Linked DNA regions of Ovis aries. The protein of the gene in region 1 purifies or fractionates together with the protein of each later gene. This does not show direct contact. Links are inferred from orthologs where the notes say so. Each region holds a gene or a part of one and is shown in the gene's direction. Other genes may lie near its edges.

Region 1 (3,645 bases):
ATTATTCACTCTGATGTGGCCCATGGAGCCTTCCCAGCTGGTGCCCAGGTCCTTTGGGCACAGAAGACACATCTAGACTCTAAGCATCCCCTGGAGATCACTCCAGATAGCATCATGTGACTCTTCCTTATTCTGCTTAACCCTGTCCACAATCCCTGTCCCATGATCTATATGGTCATTCAGATTGTTTCCACTATTTTACTGCTATAAAAAAACGCCTCAGTGAACAGCTGCTTACTTGAACATCTGCTTCAGATGCCACTGCCTCTAAGAAGTTTCTGTGGTTTCAGCGGGCACTGACCACTGACCCATGTATTCTTTCAGGGGCGAACTGAGCCTCCATGCTCCATGTCATCCAGTCCCTCAGCCTCTTTAGGAGGTCTGTGCTATTACAATCCCCCTTACGGATGAGGCATTATGTCACAGAGGATCTAAATGACTTGCCCAGGGACCAATGGCCAGGATTGGCAGAGATAAGCTGGGACAGCTCACAGGGCTTCAGTCTGAGGTCAGACCTATGAGCTCCCAGTGTGGCAGGCGTGTCAGCGCCCTGGGGAATGAATATCCTTTGGCTCCAGGAAATCTTCAGGCAAAGGAAACATGCAAGGAAGAAAATGAGACATAGGGTAGTACCCGGAGAGGAAGTAAGTGAGTTCAACCGCTGAAGACAGAGGGTTGCTATCAGCATCCTCAAATGGATCAATAAAAGCAGATTATTTCTGATTTTGGTCTGTTAATTCTGTGCTTAACAAACATTTTGACTCACCTATAATCATTATGCTATATTTTCTACCCACCCACAGTTCAAATCCTGGAGTAGTGGCCAACTGAGATCCCTTTGTGTAGGGAGATGTTGGGAAACAAAGGTGGGAACATGTGTGTTGATGGTCCACAACTCCAGATCTGATAGATATAGAGGTGAATTACAGTTTGTCTCCATATTTAGGAATTAAGGTAACCCCAGCATCACCATCACGCCTAAGCAGAGAGAGACTGAATATTCTCTCAAACATGTAGAATTCTCTTCCAAACCTGTAATTAAAAGGCAAGTTCCCCTCAGCAGGGATCTGCCTCGGGGCTTGTTTTGCTGAGGCTGCCTCACTCTGTTGTCAGCCAGAGCCTTGGAATCCTAAGCAAGCCTCGCCACCCCGTTCCCAGACCCACAGCAAGGTATATGCATTCCAGAGCAAGCCTGGAGTTCCATGGGGCTGATGGGATAGGCCCCATGGCCAGGTGGCAGCCCAAGCAGTGGGAACTCCAGAGAGAACAGAGAAGAAGGAGATGGGGTAACAGGGCTACCAGGTCCCTGGTGAGGCCTGGGGAAGGGAGGGGAGGACCTCACCCTAAACAATAACCTCTTCCATGATGATTCTTCAAAGTAAGATAAAGTCTGAAAGAGAGAGACCAACAATTGCACTGTGAATTCTAGAAGCAGAGCCACACAGATAAATGGGCTTCGGAGGGAGATGACATTTAAGATGGAAACTAGGGAGTGAATGTAAATTAATAAATGAGCTCAGAGTGCAGAAAAAGGCATCTGAGATTTATGTCCCAGTAGGACAGAGATCAAAGCCTGTGGCTTCAGTAGGCCCTGTGGAAGAAAAGCAGTTTGTCTGATAAGACTTATTATAGTATTCTTTATGATGTAATATCAGTTCAGTTCATTGCAGTTCAGTCGCTCAGTCTTGTCCGACTCTCTGGGACCCCATAGACTACAGCTCACCAGGCCTCCCCCTCCATCGCCACCTCCCGGAGCCTACTCAAACTCATGTCCATCGCATCAGTGATGCCAAGCTTGTGAATGGTTTTACTGATAGGACAATATGTTACTGATAGGACAATGTTCGCAGCATAATAAGTGAAAAAAAAAAAAAATAAACTACATATGTGGTATGACATAACCATGGAGGATAACTAGAAGGAAATTTTCTAAAATATCAAAGTTACACAATAGAATTTCTAGTCATTTTTTCCTCTTTGTTCCGTGTTTTCAAGGTTTTCTTCCGTGGATGCATCTTGCTCTTTTAGTTAAAAAATTTATGCATACTGTTTCTTTCCATTAGAAATCTAAGCTGCAGCCCAGATGAGGGCAAGGGAAGGCATTGAGGGTTTAGTGGGGGTGATCGCCGTGCAGTACCAACAGCCCGGGGGCAGCTGTAGTGTAGAAGGAAGCTGGAGTCCTCCGGGGCAACTGGACTCTGGCCAGGTGGGGAAAATTGAGGAGGAGAAGGCAAGTTCAGTGAGGACAGGCAGCGCCTCCTGTACTGCAACCTCACACCCTGCTATGGCCCCTGGTCCCTGGCGAGCCTGCCAGTGTTTGCTGCGTGGATGAACGATAGCACGGCGGCGACGGTTCCCACGGCCGCACTTCTCTTCCTGCTCCCGTCTGCCTGAGGGACCACAGCTATTACTAATTCAATACATGTGAGTGGAATAAACACCTCTCTTTACAGTTTGTAACGGAATAGGAATCGGTGAGTTTAAAGACACACTTTCCATAAATGCTACAAACATTAAACACTTCCGAAACTGCACATCCATCAGTGGAGATCTTCATATCCTGCCAGTAGCATTTAGGGGGTAAGTAAAGATCCAGTTACTGGTATACCAGAGAAAAATAGACTCTGCTCTTTTCACGGCAGGTTGTTACTGACGGCTCTGTTACTTGTTTCAGGGACTCCTTCACACGTACTGCACCTCTGGACCCGAAAGAACTGGACATTCTAAAAACTGTAAAAGAAATAACAGGTGTGTACCATTAAGTGTGTTAGCTGCTCAGTCGTGTCTGACTCTTTGTGACCCCATGGACTGTAGCCTCCAGGGTCCTCCGTCCATGGGATTTTCCAGGCAAGAATACTGGAGTGGGGTGCCATTTCCTTCTCCAAATAATGTCTCATACAAAATAGAAATTTATAAGTGGTATGTGTCTGAACTTTCCTTGTGCTTTGTAGGGTTTTTGCTGATTCAGGCCTGGCCCGAAAACAGGACTGACCTCCATGCGTTTGAGAACCTGGAAATCATACGTGGCAGAACGAAGCAACAGTAAGTGGACCCCAGCCAAAGCCTTGTAGAGTCTTTTCTCTTGAAGTAAAAGCTACTGAAGTGCTGCAGAGACACTACAGAGAGTCCCCCCACACCCTCACCTGGCTGCCCCGACGGTGACACCCTGCATCGTCAGCGTGGCTGTAACTGAACTGCAGGCTTTCTCGGATCTCGCCAGTTTTCCATGAACACTTCTCGTGTTCTGGTCAGCCCACACTGCAAGGGACAGTCATGTCTCCTTGGTCCCCTGCTGTTCCTGATAGTTCCTCTGTCTTCCTTATCTTTCATGGCTTTTGAAAAGTCCTGGTCAGGCATTTGTAGGATGGCCAGTGTTTTCTCCTGATTTGGTTGAGGTTTTGTACTTTGGGCAAGAATAGCACTAAGGCCACCAGTCCTCATCAGCACCTCATTTTCAGGGGACCTGAGAAGCACTGAGCATGCCTTTCAAGATTTCCACTTTTCCAGCTCCAGCACACATGCACACACACACACACACATGTGCACACACACACATGCGCACACACACACAAGCATCTTTAACTTAACAAGGGTAATAATGAATTTTGTGGTGAGGCAAAGTTTGGGACTCTCTCATTCAACCTG
Region 2 (3,745 bases), on another chromosome or scaffold:
TGCGCATCCGTCTGCACCTGCGGCAGGAACCGACAGGGACCAAGCTCCCTGTTCATCCATCACCCAGCGGACCAGACACTAGCGCATCGGTCCGGGAGTGCCCGGCGGGGCAGCGAACATCCGGCCGGCGACCCCGGACACCGCGGCTTGGGTCTTATCGCCTCGCCAGGACCTTCCTGCCCTTCCCCCGTCCCTTCCCTTCCAGCGCCCAGCCCGGCGCCAGCGGTGGCCAGAGTCCCCGCGCGTCCTCCAACGACCCCAGTCCGCCTCCTCGTCTTGCGGCCAGAGCCACTGTGGGGACGGAGCCCGCGCTTATCCTCGCCAGCAGGCGACGCCCACCGACTAGACGATCCGGAGGCGGGAGGAGAGGCTGGGGAGCCCGGGCCCCGAGAGCCACCCGGGCAGGAACCCTGTGGGAACGGGCGCGCGCCTCGGCGACGGTTCGGGCCCCACAACCGCCAGTGACCCGGTGCCCCACGTGCGGCGCCCCGCACCCCGACCCGGCCTCCTGGGCTTCCCCTGCGGGATGCTCTAGCCCACCTGCCGCGTTCCCGCGACCACGGTGACCCCGCCCACCTACAGTTCCTCCTTGCCCCCCGCACCCTCCCGTCGCCGGGACTCCCCCTCCCAGTCCGCCCACCTCGTGGCCAACACTCGGGCCGTGCTCTCCCTGCGGCCTACCAGGGATGCTCCGCCCACCTGTGGGCTGTCCCCTCCCACCTGCGGGCTGTCCCCTCCCTCCGAGGCGCTTCCGGCTCGTAAAACTCCTCCCAGCTGCGATGCACACCGCACCCCCCAACCATGTGGCTCGCCCTGGAGTGGTCCTTCCTGCCGACCAGGCTCCCCTGCCCCCGGAGCTCCCCTCAATCAGGCGCCCGCAGCCCCGCCCGCGCCCCCGCCCCCGCGTCCCCGCGCCCGCCCCAGGCCGCCCATTGGCGCGCGCCGCGCGGGCGTGGCCGGCGGTTCCCGTGGCGGCGGCGCGGGCGGGGCGCAGTGCCTACTGAGCGCCCTCCAGAGCGCGGTCTCCGGCCTGTTCACGATGGACGACCACGACAGCCCTCAGACCCCCAAGGGCTCCTTCCGAAAGTTCCTGGAGCACCTCTCCGGGGCCGGCAAGGCCATCGGCGTGCTGACCAGCGGCGGGGATGCCCAAGGTGCGCCACCGGGTCCCCGGCCCCGGGCTGGAGGCTCAGGGAGGGGACCAGTGAGAAGGGAGGTGGGGGTGCCAGGGAGAAAGGATGGGGGTGCCGGGGAGAAGGGACGCCAGAGACAGGATGAGGTGTCAGGGAGAAGGGATGGGGGGCCCGAGAGGAGCAAGGAGGAGAGGGGTACCAGGAGTAAGTGACGGTGGGGAGAAACCCGGCGCCCGGGAACCTCGGAGGTGCTTTCCCAGGGCCGGAGCCAGTGCGGCCTCGGAAGGAGTCACTGCGCGACCCGCGTGGAGAGTGCGGGGGTCCCTTACCCGGAAGGTCAGTTTTCCACCTCCACGTTTATTTCCTAAATTACGAGTGGCGACAGGGTCGCCTGGACTCCGTTCGGAGGTCCCTCCGCTTCCGCGAGGCGGGATGAAGCCGGACTCTCCTCCAAGGCTTGGCTACAGCGCGGCCACTTCTGATGCCGCTGCGGCCGCCCTGGCTCCATCCCAGACTCCCCACACCTGGCGTCGCGAGGAAGACCGCTGCGTCCCCGCGACGCGTCTGCAGCCCCACTACCCCCGCGCGGCGCGGGCGGGGTCCCCGCTGCTTTCCCGCGGCGCGCGGCGGCGAACGCACGGGATCCCTGCCCGGGTAGCCGGGCCAACCGGCACCGCCTCGCGTTTCCGCTGGGAGATTTTAAAAACGGTTTTCCGCCGGTCTCATCTCCTGTCTCCTTCCGGCTCGTCACCAAACCAAAAACCGAAGCGGGTCACTAGGCCCTCCCCGCCAGCCTCCCCTGGATGGGAAGGACCAGGAAGCGGGGACTCCGGGGTGTTGCCAGCGCCGGGAGAGCGGTCTCGGGCGCCGCCTTCCACCCGCGAGCCTGGAAGCTGGTCTCGGAGGAAATGGGGCCCCAAGGTTGGGCCCCGCGGACAACCGAAGCAGAGATGACACGACCGCGCCCCTAGCGCCGGGCGCACGTGGGGGCCCGGGGATTCCTGATCCTCGTAGATTCCCGGGTGGGGTGAGCCAACCGCTAGAAAGGAGCGGGGTGCTGCCCATGCGCTCGGAACCTGGAGGACCGCAGGCCAGAGACGCCTCCCGTGCCAGCTTCTGGCGTTTCTTTTACCCGCTTCCTCCTGTCTAGATGAGCTGAAAGGCCCCGATGCCTCGTTCTCACCTCATCTCACCACGCGCGGTGCAGGGATGCTTAAGTGGCTGGCCGGCGCCCTAGCCTCCGCCCACGCTGCTGGTGACCTTCTCTTCGCCCTTGAGAGGGGCGGGCCGGGAGGGGGGTGCTGCAGGTGGGGAGCTGTGGCCGCAGCCCCGCCTGCCCCGCGCGCGTACGTGATGCCGGGCCCGTCGCCGCCCGTGCGCCCCGCGCCCTCGACCCCGGACACCCCGCGCACGGCCGGCTGGAGGCCAGGGGACTCCGGGTCCCTGGAGAGCCCCTCCCTGTCCTGTTGAAGGTGGTGCGCGCCGCATCTGTCACCGCCCCCGCCCCACAAGCCGGCTGAGCCCGAGCAGGCTGGTCTAATTTGGTATTCTAGTAAAGTGGCCCCAGTGAAGAGAGAAAACGTGATACAGCAAAGACTGGGGGCGGGGAAATGGCAGAGTGAAACTGATGACATAGCCCACGTTACTTACCTGCTGTGCTGGATTGGGTCCCAGTCGAGTCGCTGCTGGGCTAAGAGGGGCTTCCCGGTAAATGCGCTTCAAAAAGCACCTGCGTCCCGAGACGTGGGCTACCCAAGTTAGGAAGCATCCTGAGTGACTCTTACCATGGGCTTGGAAAAAGAATAAAATGCTGGCACAGAAAAAGGAACTGGTCTCTTAATCCTCCAGCTTTCAAGGTCAGAGTTGCAAAGTCATTTAGAATTAAGGTGCTGTGTCTGTTCAAAAAAAAAAAAACGTAGGTCATTCACTTGAATCCTTTTCCATAAATTTGCTCAGCTGCCTGGTAGCTGGTGTAAAGGCAATTGAGGTGATGATGCAATAGACAGAATCAGCATTTTCTCGGCTACATACCTGCTACTTATCTCTGTCACTTGTGAGCAGTTATGAATAAGAGGTCAGTAAGTCTACACCTCTTCTCAGTGGAAAAGCATACTTTGAGAATCAGAATTATATGACAAGGTCAGACGGCTTGGTCGGTGTATGGTCAGGTTGATGGGAGTTGTCCTGATGCCCTGAACTGGCTCCTCTGGGTGGTCTCTGCTGGAGAGCCCCCAGTGGCCTGACGTTTGGGCATCTTCCTTGGGGCAGAGCTGAAACTGCTGTCTGTTTCTTCTTGGACTTCATGCCAAGTGCCACCTCCTGTTCGATCCTATCTGGGACCTGAGTGAACAGGGGCATGCATTTCTTTCTGAGAAAGCTCGCCTCGCTATGTGCACCAGGGGGCTGGTCTCTGAGGTAGCGGACTTAAGCTCCTTGAGGAGGTGATTCTTAGAGATGATGTTACTCCCCCGTGCTCTGCCGTTTTGTCTTGACTCTGTATGATATCCATGCTTGATTTTCCCTAAGATAAGAGAGGTTTGCTCGAAGCTAAAGACCAAGGAGAATAACCACAAGTCTTAATTTCAGGATAGTTTTCTACTAAGATGTGAAAC

Evidence for each region. The genes of interacting proteins can lie anywhere in the genome.
Region 2: the proteins of EGFR (region 1) and PFKP purify together in Homo sapiens (affinity purification with mass spectrometry; 3 studies listed by BioGRID, with this or other methods). This does not show direct contact. The link is inferred for Ovis aries from reciprocal best matches to the Homo sapiens genes EGFR and PFKP.

The regions. Positions count from the first base shown.
Region 1 is NC_056072.1:938,303-941,947, reverse strand, and holds part of EGFR (epidermal growth factor receptor), read left to right. Parts: intron 1-2,453; coding exon 2,454-2,580; intron 2,581-2,674; coding exon 2,675-2,748; intron 2,749-2,951; coding exon 2,952-3,042; intron 3,043-3,645. UniProt on the Homo sapiens protein: Receptor tyrosine kinase binding ligands of the EGF family and activating several signaling cascades to convert extracellular cues into appropriate cellular responses.
Region 2 is NC_056066.1:44,748,692-44,752,436, reverse strand, and holds the start of PFKP (ATP-dependent 6-phosphofructokinase, platelet type), read left to right. Parts: upstream 1-992; 5' UTR 993-1,039; coding exon 1,040-1,154; intron 1,155-1,462; exon of another isoform or gene 1,463-2,324; intron 2,325-3,745. UniProt on the Homo sapiens protein: Catalyzes the phosphorylation of D-fructose 6-phosphate to fructose 1,6-bisphosphate by ATP, the first committing step of glycolysis.